2 linked regions of the Struthio camelus genome follow. The protein of the gene in region 1 interacts with the protein of each later gene in a biochemical or structural test. Links are inferred from orthologs where the notes say so. Each region holds a gene or a part of one and is shown in the gene's direction. Other genes may lie near its edges.

Region 1 (6,843 bases):
GACGGAGGAGCGGGGGGTGCTGCGGCACCTGCCGGCCCGGCTGCGGGCCGAGGTGGCCGCCAGCGTGCACCTGCCGGCCCTGCGCAAGGTGGCCCTCTTCCAGAGCTGCGAGCGCGGCGTGCTGGAGGAGCTGGTGCTCAAGCTGCGGCCCCAGGTCTTCAGCCCCGGCGAGTTCGTCTGCCGCAAGGGCGACGTCGGCCGCGAGATGTACTTCGTCCGCGAGGGGCGGCTGGCCGTGGTGGCCGACGACGGCGTCACCCAGCTCGCCGTCCTGGGCGAGGGGCTCTACTTCGGCGAGATCAGCCTCATCAACATCAAAGGTAAGCCCGGGGCGCCGGCCCCTGCCGCGGGACCCCCGCTCCTGCGCCCCCCGCCTCACCGCGGCCTCCCCGTCCCCAGGGAACAAGTCGGGAAACCGGCGCACGGCCAACATCAAGAGCATCGGCTACTCGGACCTCTTCTGCCTCTCCAAGGAGGACCTGAGGGAGGTGCTGGCCGAGTTCCCCAGCGCCCGGGCCATGATGGAGGCCAAGGGCCGCGAGATCCTGCTGCGCCTGGACAAGCTGGACGTGCACGCCGAGGCGGCGGCGGCGGCGGCGGCCGAGGAGGCCGAGCGCCGGGCGCGGGCGCTGGAGGCGGCCCTGGAGGGGCTGCAGACCCGGGTGGCCCGGCTGCTGGCCCAGCTGGAGTCCAGCGCCTTCAAGCTGGCGCTGCGCATCGAGCGCCTGGAGCGCCGGCTCCGGCGGCGGGGCGCTGCCGGGGAACCGGGTCCTGCTGGGGCCCAGGGGCCTGCCACGCCGCGGGGTCCTGCTGGGGGACAGGGTCCCACCAGGGCACCAGGTCCCAGTGGGGCACCAGGTCCCACCAGGGTGCAGGGCCCTGCCACGCCGCGGGGTCCTGCTGGGGGACAGGGTCCCACCAGGGCACCAGGTCCCAGTGGGGCACCAGGTCCCACCAGGGCGCAGGTGCCTGCCACGCTGCGGGGTCCTGCTGGGGGACAGGGTGATGCCGCGGGACAGGGCGATGCTGGGGTACAGGGTGATGCCGGCGGACGGGGTCCTGCCAGGGGACGGGGTCCTGCTGGGGGACAGGATGATGCTGGGAAACGGGGTCCTGCTGGGGGACGGGGTCCTGCCGGGGGACAGGGTCCTGCCGGGGGATGGGGTCTTGCTGGGGGACAGGGTGATGCTGGGGGATGGGGTCCTGCTGGTGGACGGGGTCCTGCCGGGGAACAGGGTCCTGCCGGGAGACAGGGTGATGCTGGGGGACGGGGCGATGCCGGGGGACGGGGTCCTGCTGGTGGACGGGGTCCTGCTGGGAGACGGGGTCCTGCTGGTGGACGGGGTCCTGCTGGGGGACGGGGTCCTGCTGGGGGACGGGGCGATGCCGGGGGACGGGGCGATGCCGGGGGACGGGGTCTTGCTGGGGGACGGGGCTCCGCGGGGGTGCAGGGCATGCGGGGCACAGCCACCCGGCGCTGAGGGTTAACCGGCAGCAACTCCTCGTCCGGGTGCAGTGTGAGGAACCGGTGACCATGGTTGCTAGGTAACATTGACAGTAGTTGCTAGGTAGCAATGACAGCAGTTGCTAAGTAACAATGACAACAACTGCCAAGTAACAGTGACCAAGTTCTATGTAACATTGACAATAGGTGCTAGGTAACAATGACAACAGCTGGTAACTAACAGTAACAATAGTTGCTGCGTAACTGTTAGAACTTGCTGGGGAACAATAAAGACAGTTGCTACCGGAGAACAACAATAGCTGCAGGAACAGGTCCACGGGCCGGGCAGGGACAGGGGAAGGAGCAGGGGCAGGGACAAGGACAGGGACAGGGACAGGGATAGGGGCAGGGGCAGGGACAGGGCAGGGGCAGGGATAGGAGCAGGGATGGGGATAGGGATGGGGCAGGGATAGGAGCAGGGACAGGAACAGGGATAGGAGAGGGATGGGGCAGGGAGAGGGGCAGGGACAGGGTTAGGGATAGGGGCAGGGTGAGGGAAAGGCAGGACAAAGGCAGGGGCAGGAATAGGGACAAGGATAAGGATGGGGCAGGGCTTGGGGCTGGCGTAAGGGCAGGGATAAGGACACGGACAAGGGCAGGGGCTGGAGGCAGGGCTAAAGGATGGGGATTGGGGCAGAAATGGGGCAGGGAGAGGGACGGAGCAGGGCAGGGACAAGGACAAGGATGGGGCAGGGATGGGGAAGGGACAGGGAGAGGGACAGGGACAGGGATAGGAACAGAGATGGGGCAGGGTAGGGACAGGAACAGGGCTAGAGGCAGGGCTAAAAGATAGGGATTGGGGCAGGGAGGGGGACAGGGATAGACGGGGCAGGGATAGGGGAAGGGGCAGGGATGGGGCAGGGGTGGGGACCGGGCAGGGCTATCGGGGGGGCTCACCCGGGGCACCGGGAGGGCGAGCGGGGCTCCAGCGGGCCGAGCCCGGCTCCGGACCGAGCAACCGCCCTCGGGCTGCTGCGGGCCGCCGGGCCGGGAGAGCCGGTCGCGCCGGGGCTGCTCGGCCCCGGCCCCGGCACCGCCCGCCCCACGGCCGGCGGGCGGGCGGGACACGCGCGGCACCGCCGGGGCTCCAGCCCACGAACGCGCGTGTCCGTGGCCTCGCGGCTGGGAGCGGCCGCAGCCGCTGCCGCGGGGGGGGCGGCGGCACCGCGGGGGGCGGGGGCGGCAGGGGGCCGGGGGCACCGCGGGGGGCGCGGAGGGACCGCGGGGGGCCGGGTGCACCGCTGGGGGGGGCAAGGGGGGCGCGGGGGCGGCGGGGGGGCCGGGGGCACCGCGGGGGGAAAGGGGGGGCAAGGGGGCAAGGGGGCACCGCGGGGGGCGCGGAGGGACCGCGGGGGGCCGGGGGCACCGCGGGGGGCGCGGGCGGCGCTGCCCAGCCGGGTCCGGGAGGCTCCCGCGCCGCCTCCCGCAGCCGCCCCGGCCCGGTGCCGGTGCCGGTGCCGGTGCCGGTCGCCGCTGCATCTGCTCCCCGGACCCGGCAGCGCCGGGACCCTGCGCCGCCGGGTGCCTGCTCCGCGCCGCGCTGCACCCCCGAGCCCCCCCGCGCTCTGCATCGGCATTGTCCCCTCCGCCCCCTGCATCCCCGCAAGTCCCCCCTTACCCCCTTACCGCCCCCCCCAAATGCCCCTGCACCCCCTCTGCCTCTGCAGCATCCCACCGCCCCTCCGTCCCCCCAAATGCCCCCTCCACCCCCGATGCCCCTGCAGCATCCCACCGTCCCCCCTTCCCCCAAATACACCCTCCACCCACACTGCCCTGCATCGTCCTACTGCCCCCCGTCCCCCCAAATGCCCCCTCCACCCCCGATGCCCCTGCAGCATCCCACCGTCCCCTCCTTCACCCCAAACGTCCCCTGCACCCCCGATGCCCCTGCAGCATCCCACCGTCCCCCCTTCCCCCAAATACACCCTCCACCAACACTGCCCCTGCATCGTCCTACTGCCCCCCGTCCCCCCAAACGCCCCCTGCACCCCCGCTGCCCCTGCAGCATCCCACCGCCCCCCGTCCCCCCAAACGCCCCCTCCACCCCCGATGCCCCTGCAGCATCCCACCGCCCCCCGTCCCCCCAAACGCCCCCTGCGCCCCCGCTGCCCCATCCCGCGCGGCCCCTCCACCCCTCGGTCCCCCGGGCCTCCCCCGCCGCCCCCGCCCGCTCCCGCTGCCCGCCCGCTCCCCCGCCCCGGCCGCCGCTGGCGCCGCCCCCGCTCACTCGCTCGGCGGCTCCGGAGCGAGCGGGGCCGCGCGTCCCCGCTGCCGCCGCTGCCGCCGCTGCCGCAGCCGCTGCCGCAGCCGGTGCCGGTGCCGGTGCCGCCGCCCGCGGCAGCGCGATGGGCGCGGGGCGGCCCTGAGGCGGCGCCATGGACCCGCGGCGCCTCAACGACTCGCTGCAGGAGCTGCTCTGCCGCCCCGGCCCCGGCCCCGGCCCCGGCAACGCCACCGGCAACGCCACCGGCGCCGGCAACGCCTGGAACGGCTCCGCCTGCGACCTCCTCCGCAGGGGCCTCCGCGGGCCCCCCGCGCCCAAAGGTGAGCCGGGACGGGGCGGGACGGGACGGGACGGGACGGGACGGGACGGGACGGGACCGGACAGGACCGGACCGGACGGGACCGGACGGGACCGGACAGCCCCCGGCTGGACACGGCTCCCGGCGCTGCGCCCGAGCCTCCCGGTGCGCCCCGTCCGCCTGCCCGGTGCACCCTCCGTGCGCCCCACCGCCTGCCCGGTGCACCCCCCGTGCGCCCCACTGCCTGCCCGGTGCACCCTCCGTGCGCCCCGTCCGCCTGCCCGGTGCACCCCCCGTGCGCCCCACTGCCTGCCCGGTGCACCCCCCGTGCGCCCCGTCCGCCTGCCCGGTGCACCCTCCGTGCGCCCCACCGCCTGCCCGGTGCACCCTCCGTGCGCCCCGTCCGCCTGCCCGGTGCACCCTCTGTGCGCTCCACTGCCTGCCCGGTGCACCCCCCGTGCGCCCCGTCCGCCTGCCCGGTGCACCCCCCTGTGCGCCCCACTGCCTGCCCGGTGCACCCTCCGTGTGCCCTGTCCGTGTGCCCCGTCTGCCTGCCCGGTGCACCCCCCGTGCGCCCCACTGCCTGCCCGGTGCACCCTCCGTGCACCCCGTCTGCCTGCCCGGTGCACCCTTCCGTGCGCCCCATCCGCCTGCCCAGTGCACCCTCCGTGCGCCCCGTCCGCCTGCCCAGTGCACCCCCCGTGCGCCCCGTCCGCCTGCCCGGTGCACCCCCCGTGCGCTCCACTGCCTGCCCGGTGCACCCTCCATGCGCCCCGTCCGCCTGCCTGGTGCACCCTTCCGTGCACCCTGTCCGCCTGCCCGGTGCACCCCCCGTGCGCCCCACTGCCTGCCCGGTGCACCCTCCGTGCGCCCCATCTGCCTGCCCAGTGCACCCCCCGTGCGCCCCGTCCGCCTGCCCAGTGCACCCCACGTGCGTCCCACTGCCTGCCCGGTGCACCCCCCGTGTGCCCCGTCCGCCTGCCCAGTGCACCCTTCCGTGCGCCCCATCCGCCTGCCCAGTGCACCCCCCGTGCGCCCCGTCCGCCTGCCCGGTGCACCCCCCGTGCACCCCACTGCCTGCCCGGTGCACCCCCCGTGCGCCCCGTCCGCCTGCCTGGTGCACCCTCCGTGCGCCCCACCGCCTGCCTGGTGCACCCCCCATGCACCCCGTCCGCCTGCCCGGTGCACCCTCCGTGCGCCCCGTCCGCCTGCCCGGTGCACCCCCCGTGTGCCCCACTGCCTGCCCGGTGCACCCCCCGTGCGCCCCGTCCGCCTGCCCGGTGCACCCCCCGTGTGCCCCACTGCCTGCCCGGTGCACCCCCCGTGCGCCCCACTGCCTGCCCGGTGCACCCCCCTGTGCGCCCCGTCCGCCTGCCCGGTGCACCCCCCGTGCGCCCCACTGCCTGCCCGGTGCACCCCCCGTGCGCCCTGTCCGCCTGCCCGGTGCACCCCCCATGCACCCCGTCCGCCTGCCTGGTGCACCCTTCCGTGCGCCCCGTCCGCCTGCCCGGTGCACCCCCCGTGCGTCCCACTGCCTGCCCGGTGCACCCCCCGTGCGCCCCGTCCGCCTGCCCGGTGCACCCCCCGTGCGCCCCACTGCCTGCCCAGTGCACCCCCCGTGCGCCCCGTCCGCCTGCCCGGTGCACCCCCCCGTGCGCCCCGTCCGCCTGCCCGGTGCACCCCCCATGCACCCCGTCCGCCTGCCTGGTGCACCCTTCCGTGCGCCCCGTCCGCCTGCCCGGTGCACCCCCCGTGCGCCCCGTCCGCCTGCCCGGTGCACCCTTCCGTGCTCCCCCTCCGCCTGCCCAGTGTACCCCCCGTGCGCCCCGTCCGCCTGCCTGGTGCACCCTTCCGTGCACCCCGTCCGCCTGCCCGGTGCACCCCCCGTGCGCTCCACTGCCTGCCCGGTGCACCCCCCTGTGCGCCCCATTGCCTGCCCGGTGCACCCTCCGTGCGCCCCGTCTGCTTGCCTCATGCACCCCCCTGTGCACCCCAGTCTGTGCTCCGTCCACCTGCATGGTGCCCCCTCCTGCACACCGTGCCACACGCTCCACTGCGCACTCTGCCGTGCGTCCCATCCACCTGCCTGGAGCACCCCCCGTGCACCCCACACCTCCCAATGTGCTGCCCACCTGCCTGGTTCACCCCACCATACACCTCCTGTGCACTCTGCTGTGCACCGTGTCCACCCGCCCGGTGCACCCCAGTGCGCCCCCCTGTGTCCTGTCTGCCTCCCCAAAGCAGCTCCGTTCATCCCACCGTGCACACGGTGCACCCCATGCTCCTGCCTCCACGCAGCCCGGAGCATCCCACAGTGCCCCATCCCTGCTGCATCTGGGTCTGGTTTGTCACACCAGCTGGTGCCCACAGCACAGTCCCAGGTCCCAGTCACTGGCCCGGGGGGGCTGCGTGCCCAAGCGGCACCAGACTGCAGGACAGCAGGACCCCCTACCCCGCACGGCACCACCCGGCTCTGCGGCTCCACAGCTCCACGCCTCGGGGCTCTGCGGCTCCACAGCTCGGAGCTCTGCGGCTTGGGGGCTCCACGGCTCGGAGCTCCGCAGCTCCATGGCTCCATGGTTCCACTGCTCGGAGCTCCGCGGCTTGGGGGCTCCACAGCTCCACTGCTCGGAGCTCCGCGGCTTGGGGGCTCCACAGCTCCACTGCTCGGAGCTCCGCGGCTTGGGGGCTCCACAGCTCCACTGCTCGGAGCTCCGCGGCTTGGGGGCTCCACAGCTCCACTGCTCGGAGCTCCGCGGCTTGGGGGCTCCACAGCTCCACTGCTCGGAGCTCCGCGGCTTGGGGGCTCCACAGCTC
Region 2 (7,512 bases), on another chromosome or scaffold:
ATTGGTCTGTTCGTTCCAGAAAATTATACCATTCCTCTCCCTGCTACCCTTTGCTAATTCTTGCTACTTCATTCTAAACACCCCAGCCACCGCTCCATCGATTACACAGAAAAAATAAACTTACTCCAACATAGCAAAGCATATTACCATTAAGTATCAAGGTCCAAAGGAAAGCAAAAAAACACTGCATAGTGATAATCAGAAAAGGATATAGTACTCAGAAAGGAAAAAATATGTTTCTTGTTACCCTCCTGGGCACAGGGTTTCCTCAAGTCCCACAAGATAGCCATCTGGCTTTATCCTTCACAGCCTAAATTCCCAGTATACTAATACTTGTCAGTATACTACTCCTCATTTAGTATTCAGCCTAAAAAGTCTTAGAATCCAAAGCCACGCAATAACACGTAGTGAGTAAGATCCATATGTTTCCTTTTGGGCTAAAAAGAAAAGGCATCAGATATAGGCATCAGAAGTTGCTATGCTGTCCACATGGCAACTGTGCTGTTGCAAACTGCACATGATATTGCCATGAAAAACACATACTAAAGAGACAAAAGTCACATGCACATTGATGGAAATGAGGCATTGCACCGCAATTGCATGCTCACTACAGTAGGAAAGAGCAGGGCGTTTCCAAGCTCCTTGCCACTTTCTGCCACTCACAGACCAGCTCAGCAGCAGAGAGACGATGAGATATTAATGCTCACAGCGCCTTGCTGCACTCTGCTATTGGCACCGGCCACCTCTCTTGCAGAACAGGCATAAGAAAATATGTGCCCGTCCCTTGGGGCTCACGCTCACTTCTTGCTTCAAGCCCATCTCTGAGCTTCACACCAGAACAGCTTATACTCAACCACACGTTCTCTTTTGCCACCTCTGCTACATGGGGGAAAATCTTTGGCAGATAAATAAATAAAGCAGTTGAGGGTAGAAATATCTGGATTGTGATGGGGGGAAAGGTGGAAAAGCTCAGATCCTTTAACAGAAGCTTACCAGAAAACCTATTTAAAAAAGCTTGCAGCCTTTAAACTACAGTGTCATCTAGCTGCTACCTAAGAGGTGCATCTATTTTAATGATTTACTGCATTGCAGGGTTCTTGTTGGGTGTAAATTTGTTTTGCATCTATACTTGGAGTCTAGCAGTATTGCTCAAGCTCTGGTTCAATCAAAACAGTTTCGCCCCCCCGAGGAAGTCACGCACCACAGCAGTACGTAGTTCGCCCCAATTGTAATGGCAGCACAAGACCCACCTGCAGTTAACAGTCTACAGACACGTGGTGCAGGTCTAGGACGAGCAACTCATGAAAACTTGGGTCCTGGAACCATAACAGAGTACTGCAAATCAAATGCTGATTCTTTCCGTTTTGTGCCACATCAGTCAGTAATACACAGCCTAAGCTATCCCAAGTGCCAAAGTCCTATGATCACGTTTTTCAACCTGTAACAGGCTTTCCATTCCCTTATCTGTCTAAAATAACACTAAAATGCCAAATTGACACTTATTTAGCAAGAACTAGTGGTTTCACACCACTTCAAACTTTTACTGAAGGTAACATCAATAAATCAGAAAATGATTTCTAAGACTTTTACATACTGGTATTAAGGAACTCACTGGGGAGAATTTAGTATTCAGAAATCTATAATCAAAGTTACAGTTTTTGACAGTGCAGTACCACTGACTTTAATAACTTGACGTGATGCTGTAGCCTCACTAATTTTATTCATACACCATGATGCCTAAACAGGGAAAAGAAAGAGGGTTTTGCAAGTAGTATAAGAGAGCACATGGGTAGCATGAGGCAGGAAATCTCCTGCTGAACTCACACTGTTGAATCTCTGACTCTTTCATTGCAAGCACAGATATTTGATCGACTCAGAGGTACAGCGAAAAAGGTAGTATATGATCTTTTAATAGCACAGAGATCCCGTACAATTTTTATATGCATGTAAATGTCCAGCAGACATTCCTATCTTCACTATTTGAATTTTTATGCCACTAAGCATATTCTGATGTTTTTGTCCTGTATTCCCATGTGAACATACAGTTCAGTAAGCTTGGCTGCTCCGCTCCCTCTCCACACACAGAGGCTTTCTCTCTGCTCATGTGGAGCCCTGGAGTTTCAAGAAACAGTGACAGGAAGACACAACAGACTCAGCAGCAGCAGCTTTATGAACTGTAAATGTTTACATTCAATGGATACCCTGTCTTATTGCATAGTGAAATTTACCTGTCAAGAAATACACAACTTCTGCCAATTTGAACCAAAGGGAACCTTCTGCGGACTTTTACAAAGACAAATTAATAATCGAACTAATATTCCAAATCAACTCAAAGTAAATGAACTTGTTCACAGAGATAAATGTGTCAGATTAAATGTTTGCATTTATGTTTATACTTCTGTAATACAAATTATGCATAGCATGTATTACTAAGTTCTCTGTCATTCTCTTCTATTAAGCTTTGGACTGGTCCTTTGAGAACTCATTATCTACACTGAGTTTCCCAGGGACTTGATATGACTCTACTAGAATTGCTACTGTCTTGTACTTTCCCAGAAAGATTGTGATACTTTTCCCAAGAACGTACAGTTTGACTCTTGACTATTTAATCGTCTAATATCAGTGAGCATTTTTCCCACCAGGGCCAAATAGTGAAACTGAGTTATCAGCAGTATTATTGGTTTATTCAAAGACAGAGCCATTAAACAAGCCCATTCCCCTGGAGGGAATTGCTGGAAGTATTTCAGTGTTGTTCTTCTTTGCTCTGACAATTCCACTTCAACTTACTTTTCTGTTTTCAAAGTAGGTTTTGGTTTTGGTTTGTTTTTTAACTTCCTTGGGATGGCAACTTCACCCAGCGCTGGCACTTATGTGGGAAGACAAAAAGCAGTCCACAGCTCAGTCAGAACATCCTGTTCAGTGACAAATATCCTGGTTAGAGGCTCACAGTGACAGAGCTTGTGCACCTCCATCCCCATCACCCCGTCCCACCACCATCATCACTCCCCCGTCCCACCACTGTTCCCATTACCCTCTGTCCCACTACCATCCCCATCACCCACATCCCACCATTGTCCCCATCACCCACTGTCCCACCACCATCCCCATCACCCCCATCCCACCATTGTCCTCATCACCCAACGTCCCACCACCATCCTCATCACACCCTGTCTCACCACCGTCCCCATCACACTCTGTCCCACCACTGTCCCCATCACCTGCTGTCCCACCACTGTCACCACCGCTCCCCCGTCCCACCACTGTCCCCATCACCTCCCATCCCACCACCATCCCCATCACCCCCACCACTCTCCCCACCAAGGCGAAGCCACAACACCCCTCTCAGGCCAGCAGCGCTACCAGCTGCGCCGGGATGCCGGTGGCTGCTCTCCCTGCGCCCAGTGTGCCGCAGCCGGGCGACACAGGGAGCGGCAGGGGTCCGGTTTGGGTGGGGACGGGGCCTGGCGGTGAGGGAGCTGCCCCGCAAAAGTGACAGCGCCTGGGAGAAAGCGGCTCAGCGGCCCTTCCTGGCAGCAGCAGGCTGGCTTTCTCTTGGCCCGCTGTGGGGCACCTTCCTGCCACGGGGTTTCTGCCTTTCGGATGACTTGACCCCTCTCTTGCACAGCAGGCGGTTGGCGCTGGGATGCCCCTGCAGGCCCGGGGCAGGGCTCGTCCCGCGGCGGTGCCGAGGAGACGGGGAGCAAGGGCGGCTCCCGCCAGAGCGGCCCCTTCCTAGGGGCGCTGCGCCCGGCCCTGGAGGGTCCCCAGAGCTGCTGCTTCAGCGGGGTGCCCCTCGGGCCGGCCCCCGGCCCAGCCGCCGCCGACACGCGGCTCCCAGGGGAGGCTCGGTGCCTGGTCAGCCAGCCAGGCTCTTTGGCCGACGAAGGAGCCGGGGTGGCAGCCTGAGCAGCGGGGCAGGATCACGCCGGAGCCCAGCGCCATCGCTGCCCGTGGCGCCCTGCAGCCCGCTCGGCCCCACTTGGGGGGGGGGGGGGGGGTCGGTGTTCCCTTTCCCCTCTCGAGGTCTGGGGGCTTTTCAAAAGAAAATGAGGGGCCCCTTCTCCTTGAGCAGGCGGGAGGGTGCGCTCGGCACAGCCGAGAAAAGCCCGAACCGTTTCTTCCCCCCCGAAAATAAACGCCGGCGCGTGTCAAGAGTGAAAAACCCGCCGCCCCCGGGCAGGAGCCGCCACCGGCAGCCCCTCACCGCCGTGTTTGGGCTGAGGGAAGGCGGGGGGGAGGGAGAATCCCTTGGCTGAGGTGTAGTTTTAAAATCTCCAGCCGCCAGGCAGCCGGCGCTCGGGCTGAGAGTTTCACCTCAGCGAGGGCTGAGAGCCCGACGCGCCCCGGCGGGGGCCAGGCAAAGCCCAACGGCGCCAACCGCCGCCGCCTCGGGGAGGGGCGCCCCGCTCCCCCCCCCCCGGCCCCCGACCCGGCTCCCCCCGGCCCGGCGGGCGGCGGCGGCTGCGTCAGAGCTGTGCAAACAGCCGCCGCCGCTATTTAAGGGGCCGGCGGCAGAGGCGGCCCTGACTGAGTGCCGAGCCTGGGCGCGCACGGCCTCGCTCCCTCGGGTCTGGCCTCGGCGGCGCAGCGGCAGGTAGGCGGCGGCGGCCGGCACCCCGCGGCGGGCTGGAGTGGGACTTCAGTGGCGCTTTGATTTCCTCTCCCGCCCTGCCGAAAGGTCGGGTTTTGCGCACTGCCAGTGTTTTCGGTCTAAGGTATACGGGGTGGGGGGGGTGGCGAATGAACTTCGTGTTTTTTTGGTTTTTTTTTTTTTTGCCCTTCTTATGAAATTGTAAGGCGGTTGTTCGGTGCGCTGTTCAGGAACTTAAACTGAGTCACCAGCTCCCGTGCAGGTAACTTGTGTAAGTGGGAAGTAGCCTTAAAGCGTTAAGCTTTAGCTACGTTGTTTCGCCTGTTTTTACGGAGAGTAATTTTTATGTGTCCGGAAGAAAAGCCTGTGTCCGTTTATATAATCAAATAATCTAGCGAAAGGACATCGTTTTTTCTAATATTCGTTTCCTTAAGGAAGCAGCAAACAAAAATCATTACACTTGAGCTCTCTGCTTTACATCAAGAAGAGTATTGCCACGCTGCACGTTATTTCTTACTCCCGACCAGCTTTTACCACCTCAACGGTTAGATCCAGTGCTGGGGGGGAGGTTATAGATTTTGGTTTTATTTTCCTTCTGTGGCTGCTTTCCTCCTCACTGTGTGACAAGATAAAGCCTCTTGAGCGCTGCAGTTCAAACCAAAGAAAGGTTGCTCGAAGTAATGGCTCCGTAAAACTTTTCAAAATCAAGTATTTGCAGTAACAGTGGGTTTTAGCACAACAGCGGAATAGTGGTGTTTTTTAATCCTGGGATTTTCCTCGGAGCTGGATGTGTTTCTTATGTTTTAGTGAAATGCAGCTTCCAGAAAAGCGAGGAGGAATGGAGTGAATCAAGGAGATGCTGCACAAAGCACAGTGAATTGGTTTTATCCCTTCCTGTGTTACTTAACAGCCCACAGATGCTTCTGCCTCTTACCCAGGGATATTTAACTATTAATGTACATGTTTTCCAGCTTAATGCTGATCCCACAGTTATCCCTGTTTAAAAAAAAAAAAAGCTTGCTCAGAAGCCGTTGCCTCCAAAAATGAAGGTGGGGATAACATAAAATATCTGATCGTTTTAACCCCTGATTCCTATTCTCTCCAGCAATGTACAGTGGTATATGCATCTGCGTGTTCCTTGCTGTGCTCTCAGCAAGCTCTTTCGGGCAGCAGACTGCGGGCTCACACAATGGGAATCCACTGGCTGCCGAGCTTGAGCAGAGTTTGACAGAGCATCACCGGCACGTCCGCGCCCCTTCATCCACCGGCCCGCTGAAACCTGTCCCGCGGCTGGATGGAAGCATCGACCAAAGAGCTAACATTGGTGCTTTGTTGGCCAAGTATCTCCAGCAAGCCAGAAAAGGTAATAGCCTACTTCCTATGCTGCTTCTGCGTTAGTGGAGTTTCCTTCAGAAAAACCTAGATGTTAAGGGAACCCTGTCATAGTCCAGCATGGATTACCACAGAAGATAGGAGGTAGATTTTTGCCTAGTTATTCCTGAAGTAGAGAGCATTCTCCTTTTCTGTTGTTGCAAAACTCTGCCAAAAAGATTTTTCACGTATCATCCACTGGCTGAGAGCTGGGTACAGGTAACAGGAAAATTTAAACCTCCCTGTCAGGTTCTAGCTGAGCATTTATTTATTTATTTTCACTTATTTTCATAGCCTTGTAATTATTTTGGTATGTTTTGCAGCATGTTTTATTTCACCCAAAATCTAGTAATTGCATTTTCTTGAACTTTTTCATTTAAAAAACCTCCATTCCTCTTTGAAGTTAGGAGAGCAGGAAAGCTTTTCTGTGGCTAAATACAGACCAAATGGCTAATCTTTCCTCAGCCAGGAACATCCACAACAGGGAAATCTTCTGAGTATTGGACTTTCCATGTAGTTGTTCTCAGGGAGAAGTTACAAAAGCATGCGAGCTTTTGAAAGATCGGAACTTGCATTTATGAACACAGTGCTAAAGCAGTGGTAAATAAAAGTGTTTGCTTCAAAATGTGTCAATTCCTATTTGGTTTTGAGTCCCAGGCAGCCTTGGAGTACAACAGAATCTTGCAGTTACTTAAAACCTCCATGGCACTGCATTTGTAACAGGGTGTGAAGCACTGACAAGAGTAATGGAATTTGAGGGCTTGATTTTTTTCTTATGTGATATAGTCATTTAAGGAAGAAACTGTATTACATACATGAGCTAGCTAGGGAAAGAATAAAGCTGTATAATAAAAGTATATATTTTACATGCACACACACATATGCTGTCTGTACTATCAGTAGATGTGATGGATCAAAATGGTTTCATATAGTTCCCCGTTGAAACTCTCCTAAAAGACACTTTTCCTTTTGAAGTATCTCATCTGTGTATTGCTTTCTGTCTGAGTAGAGTAGCACTGCGGGCAACCTAATTGCTGTCGACTCCATGGGAGAGAGATGGCTGCCAGCCTCAGCAAAAGCCACCACGCAACTTGTGGAGTTGCACAAATCTTGTTTACTTGCTATAGCTTCTGGCTGGTCTATCTCTGGTATTGCAGGGGAAAAAGGACATATTAGAAGCATAGAGGGCTGAAGAGAGAGACAGTAATTATGATGACCTGGACATATGGACATTGTGTCCATATGGACACAATTGCTTAACTCACAGACCCAGGCTCTGTTTAGGATGAAGTTCACTTTACGTAAGTAATGGCTTTCTCCTCTCCTGTCTCTCCACATTACCTTGTGCAGTTTACTTCATCTTCCCCTCCTGGTAGCCTCACTGCTGATCCCTGCACTAGGCAGAATCCTTTCCTTATTTTTGAAGGAGGTCTGCAATTAAGAGATCATGTGCATTTTATACTTATGTATGCCGGCATACACACTCATTTGTATACACGGAGTATGATCAAATTAGAAACAACTGAAAAAGTTGTTTTTATTCTGAGAGA

What was found. The genes of interacting proteins can lie anywhere in the genome.
Region 2: the proteins of CCKBR (region 1) and CCK form a complex in vitro, tested with the Homo sapiens proteins (3 studies listed by BioGRID). The link is inferred for Struthio camelus from reciprocal best matches to the Homo sapiens genes CCKBR and CCK.

Annotation. Positions count from the first base shown.
Region 1 is NC_090942.1:225,047,465-225,054,307, forward strand, and holds the start of CCKBR (gastrin/cholecystokinin type B receptor), read left to right. Parts: upstream 1-3,843; 5' UTR 3,844-3,879; coding exon 3,880-4,048; intron 4,049-6,843. Other genes in the region: CNGA4 (cyclic nucleotide-gated channel alpha-4), read left to right, coding at 1-320, 400-1,031, 1,496-1,549. UniProt on the Homo sapiens protein: Receptor for gastrin and cholecystokinin. The CCK-B receptors occur throughout the central nervous system where they modulate anxiety, analgesia, arousal, and neuroleptic activity.
Region 2 is NC_090943.1:51,798,744-51,806,255, reverse strand, and holds the start of CCK (cholecystokinin), read left to right. Parts: upstream 1-4,505; 5' UTR 4,506-4,594; exon of another isoform or gene 4,595-4,715; intron 4,716-5,696; 5' UTR 5,697-5,698; coding exon 5,699-5,954; intron 5,955-7,512. UniProt on the Homo sapiens protein: This peptide hormone induces gall bladder contraction and the release of pancreatic enzymes in the gut. Its function in the brain is not clear.